3 linked regions of the Caenorhabditis elegans genome follow. The protein of the gene in region 1 interacts with the protein of each later gene in a pairwise test. Each region holds a gene or a part of one and is shown on either strand. Other genes may lie near its edges. The genes, in order: C06A6.2, trp-2 and sta-1.

The links.
Region 2: the proteins of C06A6.2 (region 1) and trp-2 interact in a two-hybrid assay, tested with the Caenorhabditis elegans proteins (one large-scale study listed by BioGRID).
Region 3: the proteins of C06A6.2 (region 1) and sta-1 interact in a two-hybrid assay, tested with the Caenorhabditis elegans proteins (one large-scale study listed by BioGRID).

Annotation. Positions count from the first base shown.
Region 1 is NC_003282.8:7,844,863-7,849,634, forward strand, and holds the start of C06A6.2 (MADF domain-containing protein), read left to right. Parts: upstream 1-1,759; 5' UTR 1,760-1,779; coding exon 1,780-1,836; intron 1,837-1,885; coding exon 1,886-2,048; intron 2,049-2,386; coding exon 2,387-2,528; intron 2,529-2,757; coding exon 2,758-2,986; intron 2,987-3,764; coding exon 3,765-4,172; intron 4,173-4,748; exon of another isoform or gene 4,749-4,772.
Region 2 is NC_003281.10:989,795-994,896, forward strand, and holds the start of trp-2 (Transient receptor ion channel domain-containing protein), read left to right. Parts: upstream 1-2,086; coding exon 2,087-2,298; intron 2,299-3,092; coding exon 3,093-3,165; intron 3,166-3,535; coding exon 3,536-3,634; intron 3,635-4,255; coding exon 4,256-4,600; intron 4,601-5,102.
Region 3 is NC_003282.8:16,662,313-16,670,332, forward strand, and holds the start of sta-1 (Signal transducer and activator of transcription 1), read left to right. Parts: upstream 1-2,007; 5' UTR 2,008-2,009; coding exon 2,010-2,318; intron 2,319-2,414; exon of another isoform or gene 2,415-2,435; intron 2,436-2,690; exon of another isoform or gene 2,691-2,711; intron 2,712-2,794; exon of another isoform or gene 2,795-2,815; intron 2,816-2,897; exon of another isoform or gene 2,898-2,914; coding exon 2,915-3,259; intron 3,260-3,272; exon of another isoform or gene 3,273-3,293; intron 3,294-3,455; exon of another isoform or gene 3,456-3,476; intron 3,477-3,651; coding exon 3,652-3,779; intron 3,780-3,902; exon of another isoform or gene 3,903-3,923; intron 3,924-3,943; coding exon 3,944-4,181; intron 4,182-4,209; exon of another isoform or gene 4,210-4,230; intron 4,231-4,349; exon of another isoform or gene 4,350-4,370; intron 4,371-4,556; coding exon 4,557-5,203; coding exon of another isoform or gene 5,204-5,240; intron 5,241-5,350; exon of another isoform or gene 5,351-5,371; intron 5,372-5,416; exon of another isoform or gene 5,417-5,437; intron 5,438-5,618; exon of another isoform or gene 5,619-5,639; intron 5,640-5,676; exon of another isoform or gene 5,677-5,697; intron 5,698-5,892; exon of another isoform or gene 5,893-5,914; intron 5,915-6,102; and 14 more. UniProt on the Caenorhabditis elegans protein: Carries out a dual function: signal transduction and activation of transcription. Activated STAT proteins play a role in repression of dauer formation.

The sequences.
Region 1 (4,772 bases):
GTATCGAACTGTATAAATGGTTAAACGCTGATGGACTACATTTTCTGTACGTTTCTATATTTTGTTGCTGAAATTTATGAAATTATAATATTTCCTTATTTTCAAAGTGCTTCATAATCTTAAGCCGACCATGAGTAGTATTAACATAAAGTCTAAAAAACCTGCAAATCTTCACTGGATCAAAAAATCAATGTTCTTGGAAAATCTGAAACTACGCGATTAATCATGTGCTATTTTGATTCAAAATTATATAAAATATATGTGATCTTTTCAAGAAATCCAAAAAAAGTTAATATACAATTGAAAGTCTAGGTGCCTGCCCATCTGGCACCGTACCAGTACATTCATCTATTGACCTGTCTTTTCTCATTCATCGAACAGATGGTAAACTAATATGTTTCTGAAAACAATACAGTTTTAAAAGGTATTTTGAAGAAAAAATATCACGGTTATCTGATATCTGATATCTACCAACCAGATATCTCCAGATTCATAGAAGAACCAGATATCTGAAATTGATTTTATATTAGATCTGAAAACTTTTATTTGACAACTCCATCTCAATTTCAAAAATCGTGAACCACACATTTTTCAGATTTGGATGTTCCATTTCATGATTGTCACGTAGGGAAGAATTCCCATACTTCACAAAACGGAATCTTTAAATGTTGTTTGCGATCACCTAGATATTCTTGGTTCTTTCGAGCCCGTGGGGCCTCGAGATGTCTTTTTTTGCGCCGCCCGCTACTATTGCTGGCTGCTGTGTCGTCTTCGTCCAGGGGGGCAAGGCACACCCTCTCCGCCTCCTTCCCCACCCCCCACACATCGACCACTCGACGTTCAAGAAACAACAGGGCAAACACGGAGGATAGAGACATCGAGATATTGTGTAATTTGAAGAGAGTCGATGACATAGAACGCGGCGAGATGTGGGCGGGGCTTGTGTTAAGTCCCGCCCATCGGCGGTTTGGAGAGAATTGATCGAGGCCGAGACGGAGGGCACGCTGTTGGGAGAGAACACACACAGACACACACACACACACACACACATATATATACACACACATACCCGGCCCGTTTGCATGTTTTGGGCTATTTTCAGAAATTTGCCAGATTCGTTGGCCAACCCAGAAAGTAGGCGTGGCCTTCCAGTATTGCCCATTTTCCACATTTTCAGTGCGTTTGGTGCTGCAAATGAGCATTTCCGTGATCTAGATTTTATGTCCAATGGGTTACAGTGCCTCATCATTGGTAAACTTCTGTTATTTCAGTTGATGGTGCATCTGCACTTAAGAATTTGACATTTTCAATTAACTCTTGGCGTTTTTATTGTTTCTAAAATCTTTTTTTTCTATTTGTACGCCAAATTTTGTACTGAAGGAACTTTGTAAACCCATCACACTAAAAATATCATATTTCTGTCAGGATTTATGCTATGGTTTTATAAACACCCAAAGTTAAAAATTCCTTATCTGTAAAATTCCCAACAGATAAATTATTTTTGGAATTTGGAAGTAAAAAAATAAATCGAAAATTTTGCAACTTTTTTCTACTAAAAACCCCCTGGAAATTAAATGGGAAAACTTATTTTTTAAAGAACTTTACCCTTTTTTTTCATTTTTCCCTGACGGCCTAGAAATTCTCATAGTGGCCAATGATTCCCACAATGTTCTCTGTGTCTCTCCGCTTCACGCACCCTCTCGTTATCTCATTTTACGCGTACCGTGGCGCGAACCGTGATTTTTTTTTGAAAATATTTTTTTGCAGAAATAAAAGCGGATGTTCCGGCAACTCAGTGAATTATATATAAGTACTCTAAAAGAGGCAAAAGAAAGGGTTTGATATACGACAATACACTTCAAGTACCAAAAAATATTAATTTCAGTCTCCACCCAACTTTGATGATACACCACGTGGTTTGTTACTTGCTCTCATTAAAGACCGACCGACAATTTGGAATTCTAGTGCACGATTAACAAAAGATGATGTTCTAGCTTCATTTCAACAATGTTCCGCAATTTTGTCAAATATGGATCCTGGTTATTCGAGTAAGAGTTTTATTTATTGAAAATTTAATAATTTAATTTGAAAAAAAAACCTCAAAATTGTAAAGGCATTATAAAAATTTTTAATAACGTAAAAAATCTGTGATCTTCAAAAGTTTTCAAAGAAAAGTAGGGAGACTTACTAGTTAGACAAAGTAACATTTTTTAGAACCTAACAATTGTAAATTGAAAATTATTTAGGTATCTGTAATTTTTTCTGTCCATGTGATTCAAGAACTTCATAAATTTTAATCTTTTTTGCATTTAAGAATTCCCAAAAGACCCAGAGATGAATTTTTGCTCTCTAATTTCATATCAAACTAATTTTTTCTTTATTGCAGTATGGGCGGTCATTGAAAAATGGTGTTGGGTTGTTGAGAGCTACGTGAGGTGCTCAGTGACGGCTCCTCCATCAGAATGGCGTTATAATAATACTCTTGATTATTTGAAGCAGTTTGCCACCACGAGTTATCCGTATTTAGGGTAAGTGTCTTTGATAAATTTCATAAAATATAAGCTTTTGCTAAAAACTGTCTCAATTTTGACTCCAAATAGAAATGTTTTGTTTCAAGCTTTTTGAAAATATGCCTCCATCAATTACAGTAATCTTATTGAAAATTTTTTTTAACGGAAAATAAATCGTTGTTAAGGCATTGCATTCCGTAATTTTTAATTTGGTTTTTATTACAAAATGTATGCAAAACAATTTCAGATGCCTTTCAAAGAAACGACGAAATGAATTAACGAAGCTATACAATGATCCGGAAATAAATGTAGTTATGCAAAAAACGGAAGAAATTGAATTTCCTGTAGGAATTTTCCGGGACGAAATGTTGTATCTTTCTGGAGAAGATCACTTAATGCAATATGATTTAGAACTGAGAACTGTTGGACAAGTTGTTAATGCAAAACGAAGAGGCAGGCCCTCAAAAGTCGATAAAGTATGTTTTTAAATTTTTAAAAATGGAAATAATTGGAAAAGATGCCTCTGAAAATTAAATGGACCGCCTTGATTATTCAAACGTTCAAAAAAAACATTTTGCCGAAGATACTTTTGAGCTAGATTAGACAAACTTTAACCTTAAAAATGTTTTTAATACTACAATCTTTCTCAAAAACCCGAAACCGAAAGTTTTCAACTTTGTTCAGAGAATAATGATTAAATTTATTTGTTGAGGGATAAGCATTATTTTAATTTGATCTTTGCGAGGTTCTAACGGAAAACCTCCATAAAAATAAAAACCGTCCAAAAGGTGTACGTCTTCAATTTAATATATATGGGTTACTGAAATTCTCCATTGCACAGATTTTTTTTGGTCTCTAATGATAACTATTTTGTTTGTAGTGAGTGCGCGTTTCGTATTTCAAAGTGAAAATTTTCACAGTGGTCAAGAATGAGCAATGATTAAAAAAATTAATTTTTTGCTCCAGCGCCAGTGCCGATTTAGTAAAATTACACTTATAATTCACCAAAATACGGAATATCAAAACAGTTTTGGCAAACTGCCAAACTTTTGACAAAGTTTTCCTATCTGAGAAATTTAATTGATTGTGGCTTATTTGAACCCCTGCAATGTTTAAATACGAATAATTAAAGTTTTTTGGTTGACCACCAAAATTATGAGTGACGAGAAATTGCCAGTTTTAACTAAAAGTTATAAAAATCCTCATACTCCACCTTTACCTGTTTATATTTCAATGTATTGTTTCATATTTCAGCGATCTCCAGTTGATAATTTCTATAATTTAACGCCACAATCTGCTCAATTTCAAAAGCTACTGGAGAGCAATATGTCAAGTGCATTCAGCATTGCTTTTGCCGAATCTGAATTGATTCCCGATGATTTAGGATTTTCACCGGCAATGTACATGGCTCTTATCGATATGATTCAAGATAAACCAGAATTATGGCAATCAAATCATCCTCAAAAGGATAATTTACAAGCACAAGAGCAATTGTTTGAAGATTTCGGAAAACAATTGATTATAAAGTTCCGAGATACAGCAGATATTAGTGTTCTTGAAAAGTTAACGGGCCCATACGTTCATCTTGTTTGGGAACGACTATTGGAAAAGTTTAAAGAAGAGGATAGCCTTGAAACAGTATCGAAATGGAAATATTATCAGGTTGGGTTTTTACTTAATTTTCCAAAAATATTATCGCCAAAAAGCCTTCATAAAATGAACTACCTATGAAAAATTATTCAGAAAGAGCTACATTAAAAATTCAATTTTTATGGAATTTAATCTAGTTCAATCATGATAAAAACCCTGTTTAAAATCAAAATTTTAGAATTATTTTATTCGGAATTTAGTACAGGTTCTAGTTTTCCAATAGCTTCCAAATTTTTATTCTAGCTGAAAAATAATTTGATTAAACATTTCTGAGTCCCAATTATTCACATTTTTACGCATTAGTTTAGTACTGTAGTTTGAATTTTTAACAAAGTTCGTTTCTATAGTTCTAAATTTCCTTTTCATCCTCCCAACTTCGTGCATTGTGCACTTCGGAACTGACAGCTGCCTACCAGCTGTCGCGGTCTCCACACCACTGGAGTTTTTTTTTCTGAATAAAAAAAATTGGAGCAGAAATATACGCAGCCAGGCTTATTCAACGGAATACTACCCTAAAGGTTTAGCAATTATTTGAAATTCTCGAAATATAAATTGGGAGAAAGTATATATATATATGCATGAACAGGGTCCGAAATAGGCCAAGTAAACGGG
Region 2 (5,102 bases), on another chromosome or scaffold:
ATCTCTTCTTTAGCTCCGTGGAGCACAAGCTGCTGCTGCTCCTGTGCTGCTCTCGTCTATTTCTCAATTTTTGTTCTTTTTCACCCCCTTTTTGCTCCAGAATCCCATCGTCGTCCCCCAATCATGATGGCTTAAGACCCCTCCTAATGAAACATTTTTCATTATTTGGTTTTATGGAAGAGTCTTGGAGTCCTGGGAAATTTTTTGAATTTCTTACATTTTCAGCTTATATATTCCGTCAATTTTGAGTTCCGACACAGCTGAAAGCATAGCTACCGTACCCCGCGTGGCGAGACCCAAAATTTTTTAAATTGACGGAATATAGGCTTGTTGGGGGTCATTTGAAAGCTTACAATGTCCTAATCATAGAAATTTTAGTTTCAAATCTAGAAAATTAAACAATTTTTAAAAAATTGGGGAAAAATCTTTTCTTTTTGTTTTTTTCTGAAAAATCGTTTTTTGAAAACTTTGTGTGAAGTGTTGGTTCCTGATAGTGAGCATTTTCATAAAAATTTTTGACTTCCTTACATTTTCAGCTTCAAAATGACCCCCATCATGCCTATTTTCCGATCACTTTGGGTTCCGACACAGCTGAAATCAGAGCTACCGTACCACGCGTGGCGAGACCCAAAATTTTAAAACTAACGGAACCCAGGCATGATGGGGGTCATTTGAAAGCTAGAAAAAATCTTAACTTGATTTTTATAATCTCATTTTTATAAACTTAATTTTTTAAAGAATTTTTGGAAAAATCTTTTTTTTTTCGGAAAAAAATAGGACAAAAAAATTCAACAATTTTTTAATAACTTTTAATAACTTTTTGATCTCATTTCAATTATTTCCAACAATTTTTCCTGTCAAAGTCAAAAACTACACATAATTGCTGTTAAACTTTGCGGAAAAGTGATGGAAAAAGCGCAAAAATTATGAGCGTCTCCGGGAGAGAGATGTGTGTTTTAAAACGCGCATTATTATGCTCTCGGCGGAGCTTGTGAAGCTTAAAGTGTTTTCTGGTTTTAGTAATAGGGTTTTTAGAAAAAAAATTGTGTCGAAAATTTATTAAAAATTTTTTTAAAATGTTTTGCTGCAAATTTTTTTAATTCGTATTTTTGCAGCTTTATTCCCTATTTTTCGAATTTCTCATTTTCCTGGCTTCAAAATAACACCCATCATGCCTAGTTCCCGTTAATTTTGAGTTCCGACACAGTTGAAACCACAGCTACAGTACCCATCGTGGTGAGACCCAAATTATAAAAATCGATGGAATATAGGCGTATTGGGGGTTATTTTAAAGCACTCGATATCACAAATGTAAATAATATAAATTCAAATTTAAAAAAAAAACCAAAAATTAATAAATTGTGGAGAAAATATAAATTTCTTCAAAAATTTTTTTTTTGAATATTTTTTGAATATTTTTTAAACACCCACTTAATTGTAGGTTTTTTTCCGTATCAGTTTTTGAACTTTTTTATTTTAGCTTCAAAATGACACCCATCATGCCTAGTTTCCGTCAATTTTAAGCTCCGACACAGCTGAAACCACAGCTACAGTACCCCGCGTGGCGGGACCCAAATTCTCGAAATCAAAGGAGTATAGGCAATATGGGGGTCATTTTGAAGCTATTGTCGTTCTGAAATTAATAAATAAACTTCTTTAAAGATTTGAAAATCGGTTAAAAAAATTTTGGAGGATTGAAAAAAAATGTTATTTAAAAAATGTTATCCAAAAAAAATTTAATACAATTTTTTCAGTATTAAATTTTAGTGTATTATCTTTTTGAAATATTTTTCAAATCAAAAACGTCCCTAACTAAAATACATTTTTCCGTCAGGCGATCTGGAGAAAATAAAAATATTGTGCTCTAAAAAGTGTCAGATTTCAGATATTTTATGACACTTTTTCTTTTTTTTTTGTAATTCCCTCCAATTTTAAAATTTTTTCATAAAATACGTGGTTTTCTGATGCCCTTAATTTTAGCGGTAAATTTTAAAAAAATTCGGAATTTCTTTGTTTTTTAATTTTTTTCAAATTTCGTCCCAAAACATCGCAAATTTTCCCTAAACCCTTCCATTTTCCAGCCAAAATGACATCATCAGAAGCATCCGAGTTTCGGATGATTGAAGATGACGATGACGTCAGCAACAATGTCACGTGGACCGAGTCGGACAACTCGCGGCTCCGCGAGAAGCAGTTCCTGCTCTCCTGCGAGCGGGGAGATATTGGGAGTGTTAGGAAGCTTTTGGCTGGAATTTCAACGGAAACTTTTAATATAAATTGTTTGGATCCGCTTGGCAGGTAGGTTTGATAAAGTTTGAAAAAATTAAATTTTTGAAAAAAAATTTTTTTTTTCGAAATGTTGCAAATTTCTTTACAATTTCTACAATTTCTTTCTTGAAAATAAAAATTTGAATTCAGCACCCCGAGAGCTTTCAAATAAGCCTCATCATGCCTATGATTTGTCAATTTTGAAATTCGACACAGCTGAAACCATAGCTATACTACCCCGCGTGGCGAGACCCAAAACTTTCAAAATTGATTAAACTAAGGCATGATGGGGGTCATTTAAAAGCTGAAAACGTCGATAATTTAAATTTTTTGAAATTAGCTTGAAAAATGGAAAATTTTGCAAAATTTGAGGAAAAAAGAAAAAATTTTTGTTTTTTGAGGAAAATTTTCTCGAACTTTTTAAATTTTCTCATATATTTATTTGCATTTACGATACAAAAAGCTTTCAAATTACATCCAACATGCCTTGTTTACGTCAATTTTAAGTTCCGACACAGCTGAAATCAGAGCTACAGTACCCCGCGTCGCGAAACCCGAAAATTTCAAAATTGACGAAACTTAGGCATGATGGGGGTCATTTAAAAGCTGAAAGCGTTGTAAATTCGAGTTTTATAAATAAAATGCAATAGCTCTAATATTTTTTCGAGAAAATTTTGAAACTAATAAATTTTTGAAAAATTTTTTTTCAACATTTTTTAAACTTTTCTTTCCCCGAATAAAATATATTTTATAGCATAGTACACTTGAATTTTTACGGGCTCCGCGAGTTCCGGTTTATATCTTATTCCCCCTCCCGGTTGCAGAAACGCGCTTCTCATCGCAATTGAAAACGAGAACATCGAGATGATCGAGTTACTATTGGACCACAATATTGAGGTTTCGTTTTGCACACTTTTTTAAAGAAAAAAAGCATTTTTAAAATGTGCTCGAAAAATAAGCCTAAAGTGAGAAATTCTGGAAAAAAAAATTTTTTTTTGAAAATTTTATTTGGAATTTTTTTTTTGGAATTTTTTTTTTGGAATTTTTTTTTGAATTTTTTTCGAAGCCCTTAATTATTTGTTTTGAAATTTATTATTGTATGTCACAAAAACAATTTCTGCAACAGAAGCCAAATTGAAAATCTGGGCAAAAAAAAATTGTTTTTCACAGATTTAAATGTTTTTTTTTTCAAAAAAATTGTTCTACTTCGAAAATCTAAATTTTTAACTCATTTTTTGTTTAATTTCCAAAAATTTTACAATTTCAGACCGGCGACGCAATTCTCTACGCAATTGGAGAGGAAAACGTGGAGGCGGTGGAGATCATAGTGGAGCACCTGGAAAAAATGGACAAATTTGACTCGGAGGTACTTTTTTCGAATTTTTTATATGAAATTTAACGTAAAATTTAGTTTCAGCGCACTGAGAGCTTTCAGAAAAGTATAATCATGACTGGGTTCTGAGAATTTTTAATTTTTCGGGAAAAAAATTGGGTCCCGTCGGGAAAAAGTCTCGGGGTACTGTAGGAAGCGAACTTTTCATTTTGGATTAACTTTTATAACAAATTCAGATAACTGGGTTAATTTTGAGATAGGTTTCAGGAAAATTAACCGAAAACTGAAAAAGGTACGAATTTTCGAAAAAAAATTTTTTTTTAATTTTCACAAAATGTTTTTTTTAGAAAATCTCTCAAATTGAAATTTTGAATTTTTCACATTTTAAGCTTCAAAATGACCCCCATCATGCCTAGTTTACGCCATTTTCATGTCTTGACACAGCTGAAACATAGCTACCGTAACCCGCGTGGCGGGACCCAAAATTTCAAAGTTGGCGGAACCTGGACATGATGGGGGTCATTTGAAAGCTCTCAGTTAGCCCAGTGCAAATATTATAACATTTTTGTTAAAAGTTCAAAAAATTGGTTAAAAATTGTACTTTCAAAAAAAAAACATTTTTTTTTGAAAATTTGAAATTTTCTGAAATTTCAGCGCCAAGGAGTGGAGATCACAGAGCACTCAGCATTTACTCCAGACATCACACCAATAGTGTTAGCAGCTCACAAAGACAATTACGAGTGCATAAAGCTGTTTTTGGACAAGAAGGGTACGGTACCCCACCCCCATGACGTCAGATGCTCCTGCCCCGAGTGCTACGTGGCAAGGGAAGAGGATTCTCTGCGACTTTCTAGGTCACGGATAAATGCCTATAGAGCACTTACAAGCCCGTCGCTCATCTGTCTTTCCGCTCGAGACCCGATTTTGTACGCTTTCGAGCTGAGCTGGGAGCTCAAGCGGTTGAGTTTTATTGAAAATGAGTTCCGCACAGATTATGAGGTGAGTTGGGAGGGGAAACAGTTTTTTAATAGGATAGAGCATAAGAAGAGCTTTCAGAAAAGCTTAAATTAGTATAGGTTTCAGTTGGAAACTTTTCTAAAATTTTGGGAAAAAACCAAAAAAAAATTTTTTTTTTGAGTTTTTTTTTTCAATTTTTTTTAGTCTCAAAAATAGTGAGATACTGTTTTTGTGTCATTTTTTGCATTTTTCCCATAAAACTTAAGCTTCCGTCTATTTTTTTTCTCGAAAAATTAGCTAAAAATCTTCAAAACTAACAAGGTTATGAATTTTTGAAAATTTTTTAAAATTCAAAAAAAAAATTTTTTTCTAAAATTTAAAAATCGCTAACTCCGCCAGTTTTGTGCATTTTCCGCAGTTTAGTGTAAATTGAAAGAGATTTTCTAGATTTTGTGATAAAAATACTACCAAAAACATTTTTCGTACTAGATACAGTACCCCAAGAGTTTTCGTGGTGGGACCCAAAACTTTTAAAAAATTTCTG
Region 3 (8,020 bases), 8.8 Mb from region 1:
AGCAAAAAAAAAAACAATTTGAAAATATTAAAAACCAGTTAGAAACAGTAAATTTTTTATTTCTCATGACCATGAAACATAAGCACATTTTCCAAGTTGGAATGCTCTGTAAAACGAAATAATTGATAGAAAAATTTCAATTTATATCTAACTGTAAATGACCCTTATTAGGATGTAATACAGAAGGATAATCGATAACAATTCATTTTCCATATTGAATATGAGTAACCTGAAACAGTAAACTTTTCATCCAACTTTCTGTAAATTTTGCTGTGCCTTTTGTGTTATTTCAATTAAAAATTGCCATTGATACTTGACTTATCTGAAACAAGATACATTTTTTCTAAAAATTTGAACTTGTAAGTCTTATAAGCTCTATTAATTACCTAGTTTGAACAAAAAACGAAACTTCAGCTCACTAACTAGTGAAATCGAACTTCGAAGTAATGTTTGACAATTTTTGCTTTCCGACAATAGCAGCATTAAACTTGAAAAAAATTTAAATATTGAGAAACATTATTCGATTCATATGTAAGCAATCTGAAACAATATATATGTTTTCTAAAATATTATACTACCTTCATTTTCAACACTGTATTACCCCATTTTATACATTCAGACAATATCAGTAATCTGAAACAGTATTGTTTTCTTCTCAAGTTTGAAATCTTTAAGGTTCCATATAGAAATAGCCCCAGTATAATTTTTTTTTCAATTTCTTTTTCCCGGTATATTCAGATTACTTGTCAGATTGTTATAAAATTTCCAGACTCTAAGCCAATTTTAAAACACGCAAAATTATTTCAGCTTGGCCGAAAAAAAATTAAAAAAAACTAAATTTTCGGTTTCAACACCACATTTTATAATCCTCAAAATGCTAGAACAGTAGTGAGAAATAATAATAGAACTTCATACACTCAGAATAAAAAACTGGAATAAATCTAGCAACGTATAAATAAAATGTTGGTATTTTTAAAGACAACTTGAAACAGTGGAAAAATGTTAAAATTTTCCAAAATTTCCGTCAAATCGTCGTTCACCCAAAATTTGAAAATTTTCCAGATTTTTCAAATTGTTTTCCAATAAAAAATATTTGAATAAAAACCACAAAAACATACATACTTTCGAACATTTTTAGAACATTTGAACAGTAATTTGTCGCGTCGAGACCCGATACAGTAATTTTCGCGCAAAATTTCACGGTTGGGTAATACAAGTAGAACCTTAAATGTTCATGTTCAGCTCATTTTATAATAACTTGAAAAAACCACTACTGTTTCAAAATTAATTTGAACGATTTTTTTTTTGAAAAAAAAAACATATTTTTCTCTAATCCCTCAATAATATCTCCATTTTTTTCCGTCCCCCCAATCATCACAGATATCAGCTGAGACAGGGGAAAAGTGGTGTGAAAACACACAAGTCTCTGCGTCTAGCGGTGTGTAACACTGTCTGCGTCTCTGTGCTCTCTTTGATACTCTCTCCCGTGTGTGTGTGTGCTCCTGGAGCTCTTATACATTTCCAAGTGTTTCTGCTCTCTGCATCTCTTGCCCATTTTCCGCTTTTTTGAGCCAACAACTTCTCATTAGTTTTTTCCTTCGAGTTCTTGTGCAGAGCCACGGCTCTTTCAACAACTCGCACAAATTGAAAGTTTTCGCAATTTTTTCTTGCATTGCACGTACATATTTTCTTTTTTTTTTTCATAATTATTGATGAAAATGAATATGTTTTGTCAAGCGAATATGCTACATTGAAAGTTTTCAGAAACAGTGAAAAATCAAATTGAAATTAACAAAATCTTTCAAAATTTAATCACTTATTTGAAACAGTAAAAAATTTTTTAAAGTATACGTCGATTCTGAAAATACACTGAAAATGAAATAAAATTCTTGAAACTGTAAAAAAATTTTTAACCAATTTTTTTTCACAAATTTTTCTTTGAAAACGTTTCCTTTTTATTACCTCCTTGTCTTCCCATTCCCTTCATTAAAAATCTGAAATTTCCAGACATGATGGGCTCATCGTCGCAAGAGCTTCAAACAGCTCTAACCGACGTCTCAAAGACCTGCCATCACTTGTGGGAAGAGAATAAGGACCTCCAAGGCAGATTTGTGAATGAACTCGGCGAGCTTCAACGTCTGCAAATGGTCATTGCACAGCTGGAACAGCAACAGAGACTAGAAAATGTATTCACTGTGAAACAGCAAATGACAGAGTTACAGAAAAGAGCAGCCACACTTTATGAGCATTTGACACAGAAAAGAAATGATATTGTCATTAAACTTAATGATGGCACCAATTTTGCGACGATGCTACAGGTTGGTTCTTCTAATGTGAAAAAATATGAAAAAAACATAAAAAAAATTTTACTGTTTCAAAGTTTTGTGAAATATGAATTAAAATTTTTTACTTTACTTGACTGTCGAAGACCATTTCCATTAAAAAACTCTAATACAAGATTTACTTTTTTGAAAAATCCTTCAAATTTTGAAGAATTTTGCATGTTCAGTAAATTCATGCTAAAAATATTTTTATTCTTTTAATGTTTCAAGTGAATGTTTTGTTTAAAAAAAGCATTAAGAAATCTTTTAATATGAAATTACATCAAAAATGAACTGAAATACAAAAATTAATTAAAAATTTAATGTTTCCCATGCATTTCATATATTGAACGCGCGAAAATGTCATACTTTAAAACTGGCCTGCAATCTAGCTCTCTTATCTGAAAAAAAGTTAGTTATAATATTTACAGTTTCACACTTTTATCAAATTTAATCTTTTTTTTCCTTTTACATTGATTTTGCATAAAATTTGACAATTTTTTTTAAAGAGAAATATTTTTAAAAAAATACTGTTTCACAGTTTAATCAAATTTTCTATGCGTTGCAATATTTTAATCAATCTTCATTTCCAGACCCAACTAATTGGCGAAAAGCTGTTCTCCTGGAAAAATGCCCAAAAACTTGCCCAAATCGGAATGCCTTTCGATAATCGCGAACAGCTGCTTGATGAAATTCAAATTGAATTCGAATTTCTCGCTGATCAAAACTGGCAGCTTAACATGTTCTCGTGTTGGATGCTCGACTTGCTCCGACGTGCTCCACAGTTAAATGATGGGCTCGCTCAGGCAACAATTGGAAAGTTGACTGCAATTACAGAACAATTGAACAAATTACTTTTTATGCTGGTTTCACAGAGTTTTATTGTTTCCGTTCAACCGGAACCTGTTTTGAAGACTCAACATAAATTTGTCACTGAGGTTTGTTTTTTAATGGAAATTATACATGTCAAATTTTGGTGGGTCCCGCCGCGAAAACCACACCGTCGTGACGAGACCCAACTTAGTTAGAATTCAAGCAAATTATAAGAAACAATAAAAAAAAATTCAAAAATTTTAATTAAAACTTTACCGTTTCAAAAGTCATTCAAATAAATATGTAAGTCATACTCAACAATTTTATTTAAGAAGTTCAATTCGAATATAATGTGTGCCACGCATTTGTTCAGCTTGAAAATTTCTGGGTCCCACCACAAAAACTACAGTTCCACCCCACCTAATTTTACGGGTTACTGTAGTTTCCGCTGTGGGACGCAGCAATTTCAGAATCCTGATTTTTCAATAAAATTACAAAAAAAAACTAAAATTTCCAGGTCCGTCTTCTCATTGGCGATAAGCTGGGAATTCGTCAACACCTGGTGAACACAAATGTTTCAGTGAAAATTATAGCAGAAGATGAAGCCAAGCAGTTGAGTGTTGACTATGATGCACATAAGGAAATGTGAGTTTTTTTTAATGAAAAATTTGAAACAGTAAATTTTTGAAAAATTGAGAAAATTTTTTTTTCTAAAACTTATACTTTTTCGTATTATTTTTATATACTTTTCTTATTTTTTGTGGTTAATTTGTAGTTGTATCACTATATTCAACACTAATATTTTTCAGCCGTAACAACAAGACAGTTGGCACAATTTCCAATGATTTCGAGAAGCTCACAATGAATGAAAGAGGACACTTGGCGGCAAAATTCAATAATTCAAAATTGACAAGAATTGCACACAGAAAACCGCCCCCAAAAGGAGCATCTGACTTGAAATGTGCAGCAAGTATGCAGGCAGCTACTGATCAGAAATATGCTCTTTTATTCTTTATTACACCTTTTCAAATGGGTAATTTGAGCAAAGTAAGTTGTTGATATTTCAATTATGACTTGATTTTTTTTGAACGTAGTCAGTAACTCAAACTCAAATGCAAAATCTTTTAAAAACAACGTGAAACAGCAAAACATTTATTTTTTATTTTTTCACTGTTTCAACAAAAAGTTTAAAATTTATTTCAAAATTTGAGTCTGATAAACGAACAATGGTTGAACCAAACATTTCCAACATTTCTTTCGGTTTTCACTTTGAATTACTGAAATTTTCTAACTGGATTAGTAAAAGCAGTAATTCTATATTCAAAAAAGTGTAAAGAAACTTGAGAATTTTCACTGTTTCAGCTACTCTTAATTTTCAAAATTTAATATGTCCTCCAATTTCTATCAATTAAAATTTAACAGGAAGAACAATTCGACGTTTGGACACTTTCTCTTCCAATAATGGTTACAGTACACGGATCTCAAGACTGTGACGCGCAAGTTGCAATTCTCTGGCACCGCGCATTCGCCTCAATCAGCAGAAATCCAAATACAACTGATGTGACAGCTGTGACATGGGACAATCTAGCAATAATGCTTCGAAACAAGTTCTCCTTATTCACGGGAGCACGTCGTCCACTTTCAGATTCAGATTTGGCATATTTAAGTGAGAAAATGTTAATGCCAAATGTGGCAGATCAGAAGCCAATCACATTTCATCGATTCGCAAAACAGGCAATGAGAGATGACTTACCATTCTCATTTTGGGAATGGTTTTTCTCAATAATGCAATTAATCAAACAAAAACTGCTCAAATTCTGGGATGAGGGATGGTGCATTGGATTTATTTCAAAAAATGATGCGTCTCAAAGTATGATGATGTGTCAGCACTCTTCATTTTTATTGAGATTCTCTGACAGTCAAACTGGTGCTGTATCGATTGGTTTTGTTTGTGAAGAGGCTGATGGACAAAAGATTCCATTTCATTTGGCACCTTTTACTATTAAGGATTTGGATCAATTGTCACTGGCAAGTCGTATTGCTTCATGTCCACAATTGAAGGATATTCGGTTAGTTTTAGACGCGAAAAGTTTACCATGTTGTTAAGTATGCTTAGTTACGGTCAAAAATGGAAATGTTTAAAAAAAATTGGAAAAATGAAAAAAATTATACTGTTTCACTAAATATTTTATGTGGTTAAGAAATTGGACAAAAAATAAAAAGTTCAAAAATACTACTTTTTCATTGAAGAATCATAAATAGCCTCAATTGCAATAGTTTGATATTTCTGTAACCACGAAAGTGAATTGAATTTTCACGCGATTACTGGGACGTAAGTATCGTACCTGCCTACGTACCTGCCTACCGCCTATTTTCTGCGCCCTGGCGGGAAATTATGTGATCTATGTTCTCACCGTCCAAAAAAAAAAAAACTTCAACTGTTTCACTTAAGAATTATATAAGTTGTTCCTTCTTTTTTTAATGTTAAGAAAATACTCCTTCATCTTTTCTAATTATTATAATTTGATTAAACTCTTTTCAATCAGTGATCAATTTAAACAAAAAATGTTAAAATTAAAGTCAGAAGTGCCAAATAAAAAAAAAGGGTAAATAAAAGTTAATTTTAGGAGTGAAAACTTAACAAGATGTTAAGTTTGTTCAGTTACAGTAAAAAATAAGTGTGAAGAAAATTGAAAAAATGAAAAAAAATTATACTGTTTCACTAAATACTTTTATCATTTGGTTTGAAGTTATTGCATTCTTATTGCATTCTCTTTCATAACAACAATTTTCGGGTCTTACCACGTTTTGAAACCTTTGAATTTCAAAATTTTGCTATGAAAACTGGCACATTTAAACAAAACAAATATTTTTTATGTGGTTAAGAAATTGGAAAAATTTGAGAAAAAGTTCAAATTTTCTACTGTTTCATTGAATAATCATAAATAGCTTCAATTGCAATCGTTTGATATTTCTAATCTTTGTGAATCACCCTGAAAAATATATATAAATAATGTTCACATTTTTCACATTCACATCAGTACTAAGAAATACACCTTCTTGCCTTGTGCTTACCTACCTACCACCTATTTTCTGCGGCCCGGCTGGAAATTATGTGATTTATGATTTCACCGTTCAGGCTGAAGCACTTTTGATAATATTTCTGAACGTGGATATAAATTATGTCAGCAGTTATTTTGAACAAAATTAACAAAAATTTGAAAAAAAACTTCAACTGTTTCACTTAAGAATTATAAAAGTTGTCCCTTCTTTTGTTAATGTTGCAATTCCGAAATACTTATTACAACAAATGCATCATTATAATTTGATCTAAATCTTTTGAAACTGTGATCATTTTACAAAAATATTCAAATGAAAGTTAAAATTGCCAATTTAAATAAAATACAGGAATTTAAAAAAATTTTTTTTTTTTCTATTGTTTCACTAAATAATTTTATATGGTTTTTTTCATTGAACGATATTGAAAATGGCATCAATTGTATAATTGTTAAATACACTTTTCTCCGTACTTTTTAGGTCTCATCACCATCTCGATACTGTGATTTTTAATAATTTATTATAAGAACTGTCAGCACAGCAGTTTTGAACAAAAAGTTTCATTTCCAAATATTTCATTTTTCTACTGTTTCATTGAATAATTATTAAAAACATCAGTCCCATTTTTCTGATATATTTTTTAAAAATATTTTTTGGATCCAATTAGTAAACATCATGAAAGTACATGAAATGTTAACATGAACACTTTCTATAACTGGACACCTCCTGCCTGCCTACCTACTTGCCTACCGCCTATTTTCCGTTTTTACTCCAACTGTAATTTTTTGAATTTTCTCGTTATAGGCAAAAGTGGGTTACAAATGACACTTTTTAAAATTGGATAATAACGGTGTGAAAATAGAATGAATGCAGAAACATGCGCTCGTGAATAATAACTAACTGAAACTGGGTGGAATTTTTACTAAAATAAAATCCGGAAATTGTGAAAACTGCACGGAGTAACTCAAAAAACTAATCGTTTTTATAAAAATTCTAAGGCAAAAAAGTTAGCCTGTCTGCCTACGGTGTAATTCTTCAAGAAAGTCAAATTTTGAAATTAGTGAATTAAAAAAAAATTATGCTGTTTCAGGTTGTTGATAAATTATCGGTTAATTTCTAACATCAGTAAACATCTCACATCTGGTCGAAAGTTTGAAAATATTAGATACAATCGATGTAAGGGCTGCTATGTTGGGCCGAAAATTACTGTTTGACTATAGGCAAGCTACGCCTGACGTGTGCCTTCTACCAGGGGAAGAATGTGTTTCATTTCTTTGCCATTAAATTAATTGAAATAATAACACTTACATTTAAATTTTCGGCTTAGTTGAAACAATGGTAGGCAGCAATGTAGGCAGAACGACTTGCCTACCTACAGCTTCAACAAGGCCTTAGCGCCTACTTAGAAAGCCTGATGAATTTAAAGCAATTTATTTTGGAAAAATGCCAAAGCATGTTTCAAGTTGTTCATTTTTCAAAGTCTAATATTCAAAAATATTAGTGAATCACTCAGTTTTTTTTTGAAAAAAAAACAAGGTCTCGCAACGGTTTATAATTCTTATTTTACTTTGAAAAATAACCGCCAGCCTATTAAAAATACGAATTAAAAAAAAACGCAAAATGAAAATATTTTTCTGTTTCACTGAAAAGAGATAAGATCATGGCTTAGAATTCGGACAATGCCTCTTCAAAAAATGACAAAAAATGTTTCAAATTGTCTATTTGTAAATCATGTTTCTGAAAAATTTAAATTTTTCCAGAAGTCGCAGATTTTAGAGTCGAGACCCAATTTTTAAGGTTTGACAAAACATTGACTTGAGCTGTAATCT